Macaca fascicularis: one gene and its partners. The protein of the gene in region 3 interacts with the protein of the main gene of each other region in a biochemical or structural test. Links are inferred from orthologs where the notes say so. Each region holds a gene or a part of one and is shown on either strand. Other genes may lie near its edges.

Region 1 (4,049 bases), about 81 Mb from region 3:
ACTAATTGATTCTCCTTCTTTGTCTCTAGGAACTATGCCCAGGCAGAAAAAAAGTTACTATAGGCGATGAAGCCAGCGCTCCCCTGAACCAAATAAACCCTATCGACATTACCAAACTGCTGGGCAAAAGCAGAGCAATTCACTTACTTCGAAGGTGAAAACATTTCAACATACACCAGGCGGCAACCGACACTTACGGGCTAAGCAGATGAAACACCATTTGTTTAAAAAGTCTATTATCTCACTATCTCTTCCACAAAGGTGGAAAACTGATGATTAAACATTGAATAATGCCACCCACTTACTAAACCTATGATTCACTAATAAGCATTCAATGCAATTCATAACTTTAAAGAATGAATTACCGAAGCCCCTTGCTTCACAAATTTTCCCAAGAAACAGAAAGAGCATTGATCACCTATAATCCGACAACCATTTTTTACTACGGACACCTACAGATGGCTTCTCTTCCTCTAACGACACAATTTCCTTCACAATCCCACATGTAATCATTTACAATACCAGAGACAAACTCCACCTCAGTTCCACCGGCCGAGTTTTTAAAAATCCTTGTGCCTAAGAACGTCTTCTTTCCCCCAAAGTAAAATGTGCCATTAAAAAATATTTTTAAAAAGCAAAAGTGCTTATCATTCCGTACTTCTTTTACTACCTTCAGCAGCCAATTACTGACGTGATAAAAGGTAGAAACTCCTGGAATGCTTCAGAGATCAACATGTGTCACAGACTCCCAGCCTGTCCGCCTCTAAGACACAGTTGGTTCCTTTGTTCCTTCAGACTGAACACCAACTCCTGATTAAAATTGGGAAACTACTTTGGAAGGGATGTGAGGGTCTGCAGAATACGTCCACGAAAACCTTCATAAAACAATATGCAATAGTAGTAAGGTGGGGACAGCAGAAGGGAGAAAGGGCAGCCTCCCGGACTTCCACGGGGCTCACCCTAAATGGGGGCCGGCCCCTGGCTCCTGGTAAAATGATGGCTGAGGCCTCGGGTCCGTGAGCCACGCCATCCGGGGGGGACGGCGAGTGCGGGCAGAGCGGGCCTGGGGTCCGTTGGGGGCCGGGCGAGCTGTCCGTTTTCCTATTCACTTTCCCAGCCGGGTATCCAGCAAGCACGGAGCAGGCAGGCACCCAGGCGAAAGGCGCCGCCCAGGATCCGGCTGGACAGCAGGATCGAGAGCGGCGCAGCGAGCGGTGCCCGAGGTTCGCGACCAAGAGGGCAGGCGAGCGAGGGGCAACCCCGACCCGGCCCCCGAGCTCCAGTGTCCGACCCCGCGCAGGGGCCACGCGACGGCCGCCCCCTTGCCCAGAACTGGCACGGACGGGCGGGCCGACCCGGGGCCACTCCACAACTTGCCGGCCCGCCGCCCCGGCCCCCCGCGAGAACCCGGGGAGACTCGAACCAGGCAGCAGAGGCAGGATTTCCCCGGAAACGCGCCCTCCACGCCGCCCCGTGCGCGCCCGCGGCCGGCCGCGCTGCCCCCGCCGCCCCGACGCCCCCGCGGCCCTGCCCGCCAAGCCAGCGCCGACGCGGGCCGCGCTCCGGGGCCGTTTCCGGCGGCGCCGGCGGCCGCTACTCTGGGCGCCCTGGCCGCGGCCGTCACTCACCCCAGGCCGCCGCGGCTCCCAGCCTCCGGCTCCGTCAGGCTCGGTCCGCGAAGGCGCCTGCCGCCCCGTCCTGGCCCGGCACCCCGGCGAGCTCTTCCCTCCGACCAGCGGCGCTCCCGGCGCAGCGGCGGACGCGAGGCCACGGGCGGACGGGCGCGCGCGGGTGGCGGGCGGGCGTGGGGCCGGATCGTCCCTGCGCCTCGCCGCCGCCTCCTCCGCCGCCGCCTCCCGAGTTCGGGGCTCTGCTGCAATGTCTGCGAGGCTGACTTTGAGCGCCTCGCTCGCCGCCCGCCCGCCCGCAGCCGCGCTCCTCCCTCCGCCGCCGAGTCCGCCGCGGCCCAGTCCCTCCCCTCGCCGCCCCACGCCATTCAGCTCTTCAGCCAAGTTTCTTAACCCTTTTCTCCCCCTCCCTCCCATTGTCAGCCGGTCAGGAGGAAGCCGTGCGGGTCCGGGCCGCTCGCGGTAGCTGCGGAGCCCCCTATGGTTCGTGGATTTCCTCCTCGCCTGCTTTCCGGGTGGCTCAGACGGGGCTGCAGGGCCCGGAGGCAGCGAAAGGACCGCGTCCCCAAGAGAGGGGCTGCTCGGCGCGCCCTGGCCGTCCTCCGGGCTCCCAGCTCTGTCCAGCCGCCCGCGACCGCTGCAGGCGCCTGGACAGCTCCTCCTGGGAACCCGGGGAAGCGCTCTCGGGACCCAGGCCGAATGCTCCCGTTTGGGCAGAGCCTGGGGACCGGGGCACCCCAGACGCCCCAGGGTCCCCGCCTGGGTGCTGGCGCCTTAAAAGTCTACCTCCTCCCCTTCACCCCACAACACGCGCTCCCTGGGCCCCCTTTCACCCCCCACCCAATTTCTATCTCCTTGTAATCTGTGTGTCCTGCTTTAATCGTGGGGGGCGCGGGCGCGAACTCTGGGTCACTTTGACCCCACGCCCAGCACGTAGTAGGCACCCAGCCCTCATGTGGAGCGACTCCGGGAGGAAAACTAGGAAGGAGACCTGAGGAGCGCCCCGCTCAGCTCCCTGGACAGACGTAGGACCCAGGAGCAGGGTTAATCCTCGGCTGCTTTGTCACTGCGAAGTCTCCAGCGGAGTCTGTCAGCCAATCTACATCATCCCCGGGAACCAGACAAGGCAAAAGGAGCAGAGCTGCTACTTCTTCAGCAGCTCTCCTCGGTTCAGTCTCCGAATAAGAAATAACAATTACATCACGAGGCCGGGGCGGCAGCGCGGTGGAGCCTCTTGGTTTCCTGCAGCCTAATCTCGCTGAACCCGCCTCTAAATTGGGGGGGCTACAGACTGCTGAAACGAGAAAGTGGAGGGAGGAGAGAGTCATACGAAACCATAATTTCCCCTTATCCGTGTATTTGCTGTTTTAAAAATCGTATCCTCAGCGCTCCCCAAACATCTCCCTAGAACTATTAACACCCCCTCAACACCTCCCCAGATGTCAGGTTTCTTTTTGACTTGAGCATCCAGCATTTAGTAATTCGCCATGAAAAAAATTACCAGGGGAAACCAATGTTGTTGCTGAAATTGTTTTTGCTTGACACAAAAAAGCTAAAGTATAGCTTAGTCTCACCCGAAATTCTGAAATGGCATGACTGTGTTAAAACACTTATTACATAAGACAAATGAGCCGATGAGGCACTCCATTCTTACATGTAGGTTTTTATATCCTGAAGAATTTGATAGCATTTGAAAATGGAGTTGCTAATGCGCTTAAAAAACAACAACTATCCAAGTCATGAAACTGTATTCTATGCCTGTTATGTAATGGCTGTATTGTGTACTGCAAATTTCACTTAACCTTTAAAAATATGAATGAGAGTTTTAGAATACTGTCACAGTCTTGAAAGTGAAAGCAATTTTTCAAATTAATGCTTAATAAATTCAGCACCTAGCACAGTGCCGGGCACATGGTACCGATGTTTTCCTTAGTGACAATGGCACTTTTAAAAACAATTATTTTACATCACCCTACTGATTGAACTATGCAATCTGTTGCCATTTTAAAAAGTTAAACCTCATATAATACCATATTATTTGCATATACCACAATTCAAAATCTGCTGTAGGCAAATTAGTAAAGGCTGCTGTTTTTTAGTGCATCATTTATTCAGAATTGATACAAAGCAAACCGTTTCAATGATGACCAGCGTAATTGGAGCTTGGCCCCTTAGTGGGGGTCAAACTTTTTTTACGAAAATTATTTTTAACCATAATACAAAGATTTTTCTACAATGTATTGCAAATGTTTCTCTTAAGCGGTTTATTGAACATCATTTAGCATTTTCTTGACAATTCAGTGTCAATTTTATTAAAAGTAATTGTTGTAGTAGGTTGTAGTGGATTCAGGAAATATATCCAGTTCCTATTCTATATTCTTCCTAGGTGTTAGGGATTCTCCCAGGAGGTCCAAACGCTAT
Region 2 (4,201 bases), on a different chromosome or scaffold from region 3:
AAAGGATGATGGCAGCAATGAATCTATGGTTCAGGGTACTCCAACCCCAACCCTCCCCCATTTTAAATAAAGGGTATGAAGAGGTGGAGGGAAAAGTGTAATGAAAAAAACACAGAAACAGAGTTTTCTGGGGGAAATAAGCACCCCTCCCCAAGTTCATGCCAGCACAGCCCCAAGCAGCCTCACGCACACGCGGGAAAGAGACACACCGAGCACATCCAAGACAGAGGGAAGAAGGGGGATTTTAAGCCACAGCTCACGATCTCAGGGACACAATCCTGAGCAGGCAGCGGGCGGGGTGGGGGAGCCGGGGAGAGGAGCGCAGGCCGGGAGGGGGAGGCAGCGGCAGTGAGCTGGGGAGGGCGGGGGGAGACGCCGGGGGAGGAAGGCAGCGGGGAGAAGGGAAGCTGGGACAGGCCGGGACCACAGGAGCCCCAGCCCCACACAGCAACCACCCGGGCGAGAAAGAAAGAAAGAGCCAGGGAGGCGGGCGAAGCGCGGGGAGAGAAGCAGAGAAGAAATATTCACCTTCCCGCCTCATGCCCACTTTGAGGCACTTCTTGAGGCGGCAGTATTGGCACTGGTTGCGGTGGTGCTGGTCGATGGGACAGTTCCTGTTGGCACGGCATGTGTAAGTTAAGTTCCTGCGGACGCTCCTCTTGAAGAAACTTTTGCAGCCCTCGCAGGTGAATTGGCCGTAGTGCTTGCCGCTCGACTTGTCCCCGCACACCACGCACTCGATGTGCTGCTGGCTCTGGCCCGAACCGGGCGGGCCCTGGCCCTTGTCCCCCGCCGTGCCGGGGGTGGCGGGCGCTCCGGGCTGGCCCGGGGTCTGCGGCGTGTGCGGCGCGCCCGAGCCCGCCTGCTGCTGCTGCTCGCCGGCGCCGCCGCCGCCGCCGCGGGCCGCCTGCGCTGCGGGGTTGGGGCCGCCGGGGTTGCCCCCGGCCACGTCGTCCTGCGGATCTCGCCAGCTGCTAACTACCATTGCCATATCTTTGGGCCCGGGGAGCGCTGGGGGGAGCCGAGCTGCTCGCCGAGGGCCGCGGGGCGCGCCGGCGCGCTGGGAGGGGAAGGGGAAGGGGAAGGGGGGAGGGGGAGGGGGCGGGGGGCCCGCCGGGCGCCCCGGGGTCGCAGGAGCCGAGCCCGAGCTGGGCACCGGCCGCTGCCTCCGCCGCCGCCGCCGCTGCCGCCGCTACTGCCTCGGCCGCCCCGCTGCTGCTGCGCGCCCGCCCGCCCTGCTGGCGTTTTGTTGTGGTTCCTGCTGTTTTCTTTCTCTCTTTTTGCAGCCCCCCCAGGCTCTCAGGCTCCCCCCCCAACACCCCTGCTCCCCTCGCCCGCTCCCCCCGCGCTCCGTTCCTGGGGGGGCCGCGCTCTCCTTCCCCCCTCCCCACCCCCCGGCGAGCAAGCTCCCTTCTCTCGCTTTTTTCTTCTTCCCCAAGTTGCAAAATCAGAAATGGCACAGGCGGCAGCCGGGAGCGGCGCGGGGCGCAGCGCCGGGGGCGGCGGGCATGGGCCACGGCGCGCGCACAGACTCGCCCTCCGCCTCGCCCGCACCCCCGCGCACACACACACTCGCACACACACTCGCTCACCCGCGCCGGGCGCCCGCCCGCCCGCCCGCCGGCCGCTTGGGCTACGCGCAGCGCGCTGGCTGAGCCGACATAGAGGAAGCCGGCGAGGGCGGAGGCGGCGGCGGCGGCGGCGGAGGAGGAGGTCGCGGCTGCAGGCGCCGCTGGAGCTGCCGCCGGAGCTGCTGCGGCGAGCGCCGCTGGAGGAGCCCGGGCCCGGGCCGGAGTCCGAGCAGGAGTCGGGGCCGCAGCCGGAGCGCGAGCGGAGGCCGGGGCCGCCCGCGCCGCCGCCGCTGCTGTCCCGGCGGGAGCCCTCGCCGGGCTCGGGAGTGCAGGGAGCGCGGTGAGCCGAGCAGGGCGCTGGGCGAGGCTGCCGGCGGCGATCAGGGCGCGCGGGTGTCGGGGGGCCAGGTCCAGGGCCGGACGCAGCCAGCCATTCAGGAAGGCAGCGCTGGAGAGCGGGAGGCAGCCGGCGAGGAAGATCACACACTTTGCTCTTTTTGTTGTGCCGGTGGCGCCGGGCTCTAGCTGCCTTCTTCTTTCGGGAGGTGACGGAAGGGGGAAAAAAATACGGGATAATTCACGCCGGCGACGAATTCACAGCGAAATAGAAAAAATAAAAATCAGAAGAAAATAATTGCCAAAAAAAGGAAAAAGGAAAAGCGAGAGAGACATCCAAAGTAGGTCGAATAAATAATCCTCTTCTTTTCCTCTTTCTTGCTCCTTCTTCTGCTTCTTCTGCTATAACACACAGAGCTAGTTAAAAAAACCCTGGAGATCGCCCAAAAATGTTCTTTTTTTAGTATTTTAAATAAGTGCTCTTCAGCCGGGAACCAACACCCTCCCTCCAAAAAAAATCATATATGTATAAAATAACGATAAGAAGAATACGAAGGGGGTGCCTCCTCCTCCTCCTCCTCCTCCTTTTTTTTTCTTTAAGTTTAGCCCTCTCTCTTCTGCAGGAATGGAGTAAAAGAGACGAGGAGGGAGAAAAAGGAGAGAAAGAAGGAGAAGAAGGGGAAAACAACTAGTAGAATATGTAAGAAAAGAGAAAGGAGAGAGAAGAGAGGTTCAGAGAAGAGAGGAGAGAGAAGAGAGGAGGGAGAGAGAGGGGGGAGAAAGAGAGGAGAGAGAGAGAGAGACAGAGAGAGAGAGAGAGAGAGGAGAAGAGAGAGAGAGAGACCCAAAAATTGAATGCGTTTAAACGGGAGGACTCGCAGAGCAATGTTTCCGAAAGGGGGATCTGCGCGAATGTCTGTATATAGTGAACTTTGACACTACTATTGAAACTGACACGTTTCTATGGAGATCGCTGCCTTATATGGAGCTCGTGTCAAGGAGCCAAGAGAAGGGCTGCTGGCAACTGATAATCAAAGGCGACTGACTGGTCAGAGCCCTGAATCGGGGGGAGAGAAAATGGGAGGCTAAGGTTAGCCAAGCCTCCTGCACGCCATTGGTTGGAGAGCCCCTCCCCCCTCCTCTTCTGCTTTCTTTCTTTTTTTCCCCCCTCCCTCTTAGCTACCTACAGACTGGGATGGTGTGGGGAGGAGGAGAGAAAGTGAGGGAGGGGGGTGTGTTTCTGACAAGCGCAATTTACATTGAGATCGCCCTGCGCTGCTATTTACTCTGAGACCTGATTAGTATGGGTCGTCTATGGTCACACACACACACACACACACACACACACACACACACTTACGCATACACCCCAGAGGGGGAAGGGATGACGAGGGGGGGAGAACGCCTAGCGATGGGCAAAAGGAGAATTAGAAGGAAATTATTTTGATTTCTTCTGAAAAGTTTTTAAAATTAGATTTTATGAGCGTGAAGAGAGTGTCATTTAAAATGTTTAGAAAAAATTTTAACGGGAATGAAACCCCCACCATTTTAATGATTCGTGAAATATACTGGATTTGGATTGTTTTCTTCTCTCACATATAAGCACAATCCAAGTCTGGATTCTGCTCATTTTATATCCTTGTTATAAACAAGGTAGGATCTCCCTATTTTTTGATCCAAAGTATACCTGGGTTTAAAAGGTTTAATGACGACAAAGCACACTCCTGGAATTTGCGGCTATTGCCACAAATTCGATCGGAATCAAGGGTTCCTATTTATCCCAAAGACGATTTTAAAAATAAACTTTCCAATCAATCCAGTTTTTCCTTCTTCTTCTTCTTCTTTTTTTTTTTTTTAAATCACCTGGCTGTTCCAAACTCCAACAATGCTTCAATAATTATTAATAAAACAGTAGTAAGTCCCCATATTGTTGCGGGGTGGGGGGAGATTAGTGTGGCCAAATCAGTCCCGGGAAAAGAGCAAACAAACGAGAAGATGGAGAGGGGGGGAGGCGGAGAGGGAGAGAGAAAAGGGGGAGGGGGAGGGAGAGAGAGGAGACGAAAGGAGAGAGAGAGCGCGAGACATTGAGAGAGGAGAGAGAGAGGAGAGAGAGGGGAGAGAGAAGAGAGGAGAGAGAGAATGAGAGGGGACGGAGAGAGAGAGAGAGAGAGAGAGAAGAGAGAGAGAAGAGAGAGAGAGGAGAGAGAGGAGAGAGAGGAGAGAGAGGAGAGAGAGGAGAGAGAGGAGAGAGAGGAGAGAGAGAGAAAGAGAGACCGAGACCCCGATTCCCGAAG
Region 3 (3,500 bases):
ATTCTTATTTTACCTTTTTAAATTTTAAACAGAGGAAGAATTGTTTTAGGATATACTGAAGCAGAACTGTGCACGAGAGGATCAGGGTATCAGTTTATTCATGCTGCTGATATGCTTTATTGTGCTGAGTCCCATATCCGGAGTAAGTTGTAGTTCCTTATGAACATGTCAGAAAAAAACAGCATACACTGTAGTACATGTTTCAAATTCTTATGTAATATAACGTGTTTAAGTAAACTATATAGATAAACTTCTACTTAGTAACTTATCATCATGATTAACCAGGGTTACACTCTTTGTTCATTAACTTGTCTACACCTGCCTCATAGAAATATTGTTGTTTAGTTATTAAAAAATAACCATTTGGCCCATGAAGTTTTGCTTGGGAATTTTTAAATTACATTGTTATCAATTCATAAATATATGTTAATATTGTAACAATGATGTTAATAACTCTACTTTAAAATTATAAAGTATTAGCCTGTAGGAAAATATTCCCTATTTTAAAATAATTTTTTAATCTTTTTTGTCCCCAATTTATGCTCTCTCTCTACTTTCCTGTGTTACTAGAATTGTCTGGTACATAATCTTCCCTTTAACATTTAAAATAATAAATTTAGTCTGAAGTGGAAAAAAAACTCTGAAAAACCATTTCCATGCCTTTTTTTGTGTGTGTCTAAAATGTATCATCTTTGGGGATAAAGGAAATACATCCAGAACTATGTCACAAGAGCTTTGTTTTAGGAATATTCTTTAATATATTGATTTGGGGTTTGATAATTTAATTTTTTAATTTTATTTTAGTGATTAAGACTGGAGAAAGCGGCTTGATAGTTTTCCGGCTTCTTACAAAAAACAATCGATGGACGTGGGTCCAGTCTAATGCACGCCTGCTTTATAAAAATGGAAGACCAGATTATATCATTGCGACTCAGAGACCACTAACGTAAGCAAAAGAATGTTTCCTGTTTTTGTTAACAGTTTTGTTTTCATAAGTCCTCTTATGTGAAAGCATAAAAATAATTCAAGCAGAATTTAGTCTGTAAATAAAAACTGAAAAGTTTAAGTAATTTGTCTAGAAAGAAGAGCACAGGTGAGAGACATTGAGAAGACAGAATTGACAAATTTTATTGAGCAGCTACATGTGCAGAGCTATAGAAAGAATAGTAAAAGAAAACACTAGGGTTTTATCCTGGGCATATGAAGTACATATGAAAAGCTAGTGTCATTGGTAAAATAAAAGAAAAATATAACAATGCTTTATTTAGAATATGTTCTCTAAACCCAGCAGTGATTTCAAGAGTTTCTTACATATGTTACAAATGAGTCCTTTATCAAATATTTGTATTGCAAATGTTTCCTCCCACCCTGGAGAATTGATTTTTGTCTGTGGCTTGAGGTAAGGATTGATTCCCCCCAGCCCTTATATGTATACCCAATTGACCAGTCACATTGAAAAGGTGATTTACTGAGAAGGTCATCTTTTCCCCACTGCACTGTATTTTGATCAGGGGATTTTGTCTTTGGTTCTCTGTCTGGATTGTGTTGTTCTATTAATAGTTCCATTGGTGTAGTTGTCTATTTTGTCTAGCATTACACAGTCCTAGTTATTCTATCTTTATTATAAATTTCTATGTCTGAGTGTGTCTTTATTTTGTTTGTTTCGCCTTTTTTGTTGTTCTGCTTGTGAAGATTGCCTTGGTTCTTCTTTGCCCTTTATAATTCCATATACATTTTAGAAAACAGTTGTCTGAAAATCTGTTGAGATTTTGAGTGAGATTACTTTGAGACTGTAGATCATTTGGGGAGAATTAACATCTTTTTAATACTGAATCTTTGAACCCATGAACATGGTGAATGTATGTGTGTATATAAGTACCCATGGAAGTATATGAGTATGTGTGTACAGATGTATATGAGTGCGTGGGTATGTGTGTACCTCTACAAATTTGTCCTTCTCGCTTGATCAATGTTTCTAGAAGGCACCTTTTTTAAATTAGACTTTATTAGTCTTTATTAGAATCCAACTTTTGGTTTATTGATTTTTTTTCTATTTTATACACTTGTTTTCAGTTTTAATTTTGTCTGCTCATTATTATTTTCTTCCTTCTACTTTCTTTGGGTATAATTTACGATTTTATCCAACTTTTAAAAAATATATACTTAAACATATATATCAGTTTCCCTTTAAGTACAACTTTACAACCCTCATCTTTTGCTATCTTATTTTTATTTAATTGAAAATACTGGCTAATTTTCTTTTTATTTTATTTTTATTCACGAATTATTTAGAAATACAGTGTTACTGTACTTTTTGGTGTTTGGGGATTTTTCTACTTGCCTTTTTGTGATTGACTTAGTAACTTAGTTCCACTATAGTCAGAAAACGTTCTCTGAATGAATTTCAGTTTTTTTGAAATTTGTGGTGGCTTATTTTATGATCTAATACACGCTCTACATTGGTAAAATAACCCATGTAATCTTGTGAAGAATACATGTTCTGTCATTTGGGAGTATGTTGTTCTTTTTGTATATCAGAAGTCTAGTTTGTTAATTGTGTTCATATTTCTATACATTTGTTATTTTGTGTGCTTCTGTTACTAAGACATGTTGTTTTCATTTATTTATTACTAATAGGGGGCATCTTTTTACATCTTTCTAGGATATTTTTCTTTTATAAATTACATTTGTGTCATTTACCTGTTTTTCTGTTGAGTTGTTTGCCTCTCTCTTAGACACTATTGGAGCTCTTTATTATGGATATGAAATTATATATATATATGTTAAATTATAAATTATATATGTTACAAATATTTTATTTAAGAATTCTATTGCAAAAATACAAATACTTTAATATTAAATAACTTTCATATTACTAATTATGCCAATCTTTGTCTTTATAGCTTCTGGGTTTTATTAGAGAGGTTTGTTGTTTCAGATTCTTAAGTTTCTAATTCCTAATTTTTTTTATTTTGTTATGATTATTTTTTTGAGACAGGATCTTACTCTATCACCTAGGCTGGAATGCAGTGGCACAAATGTGGCTCACTGCAGCCTTAACCTCCCGGCTCAGGCAGTCCTCCTGCCTCAGCCTCCCGAGTAGATGAGACTGTAGGCATGTGCCACCACGCCTAGCTAATTTTTATTTTTTTGTAGAGGTGGGGGTCTCGCCATGTTTCCCAGGTTAGTCTCAAAATCCTGGGCTCGAGCAGTCCGCACACATCAGCCTCCCAAAGTGCTGTAATTACAGGCATGCACCACCGGGCCTGGCCCCTAAATTCTCGTAGTCTGTTTTTATGTGTAGAGCTTTATTCCACACAATTTTGTTTTTGTTTTTGTTTTTGCATGGTGTCAGGTAGGGTTGTAATGTGACCATGGAATTAACTAAGTTATTTTTAAAAAATTAAATCATTTAAATATGCTTGTCTGAAAAACAATTTTATAGCACCAGTCATGAGAATAATTGAGGTGAAAATAAAATATGCCCCCTTTTGAATTCA

Evidence for each region.
Region 1: the proteins of AHR (region 3) and NRIP1 form a complex in vitro, tested with the Homo sapiens proteins (2 studies listed by BioGRID). The link is inferred for Macaca fascicularis from reciprocal best matches to the Homo sapiens genes AHR and NRIP1.
Region 2: the proteins of AHR (region 3) and NR2F1 form a complex in vitro, tested with the Homo sapiens proteins (2 studies listed by BioGRID). The link is inferred for Macaca fascicularis from reciprocal best matches to the Homo sapiens genes AHR and NR2F1.

What each region holds. Positions count from the first base shown.
Region 1 is NC_088377.1:32,171,461-32,175,509, reverse strand, and holds the start of NRIP1 (nuclear receptor-interacting protein 1), read right to left. Parts: upstream 2,801-4,049; 5' UTR 2,620-2,800; intron 2,112-2,619; exon of another isoform or gene 2,044-2,111; intron 1-2,043. UniProt on the Homo sapiens protein: Modulates transcriptional activation by steroid receptors such as NR3C1, NR3C2 and ESR1. Also modulates transcriptional repression by nuclear hormone receptors.
Region 2 is NC_088380.1:97,584,113-97,588,313, reverse strand, and holds the start of NR2F1 (COUP transcription factor 1), read right to left. Parts: upstream 2,801-4,201; 5' UTR 992-2,800; coding exon 529-991; intron 1-528. UniProt on the Homo sapiens protein: Coup (chicken ovalbumin upstream promoter) transcription factor binds to the ovalbumin promoter and, in conjunction with another protein (S300-II) stimulates initiation of transcription. Binds to both direct repeats and palindromes of the 5'-AGGTCA-3' motif.
Region 3 is NC_088377.1:112,862,289-112,865,788, reverse strand, and holds part of AHR (aryl hydrocarbon receptor), read left to right. Parts: intron 1-32; coding exon 33-142; intron 143-804; coding exon 805-946; intron 947-3,500. UniProt on the Homo sapiens protein: Ligand-activated transcription factor that enables cells to adapt to changing conditions by sensing compounds from the environment, diet, microbiome and cellular metabolism, and which plays important roles in development, immunity and cancer.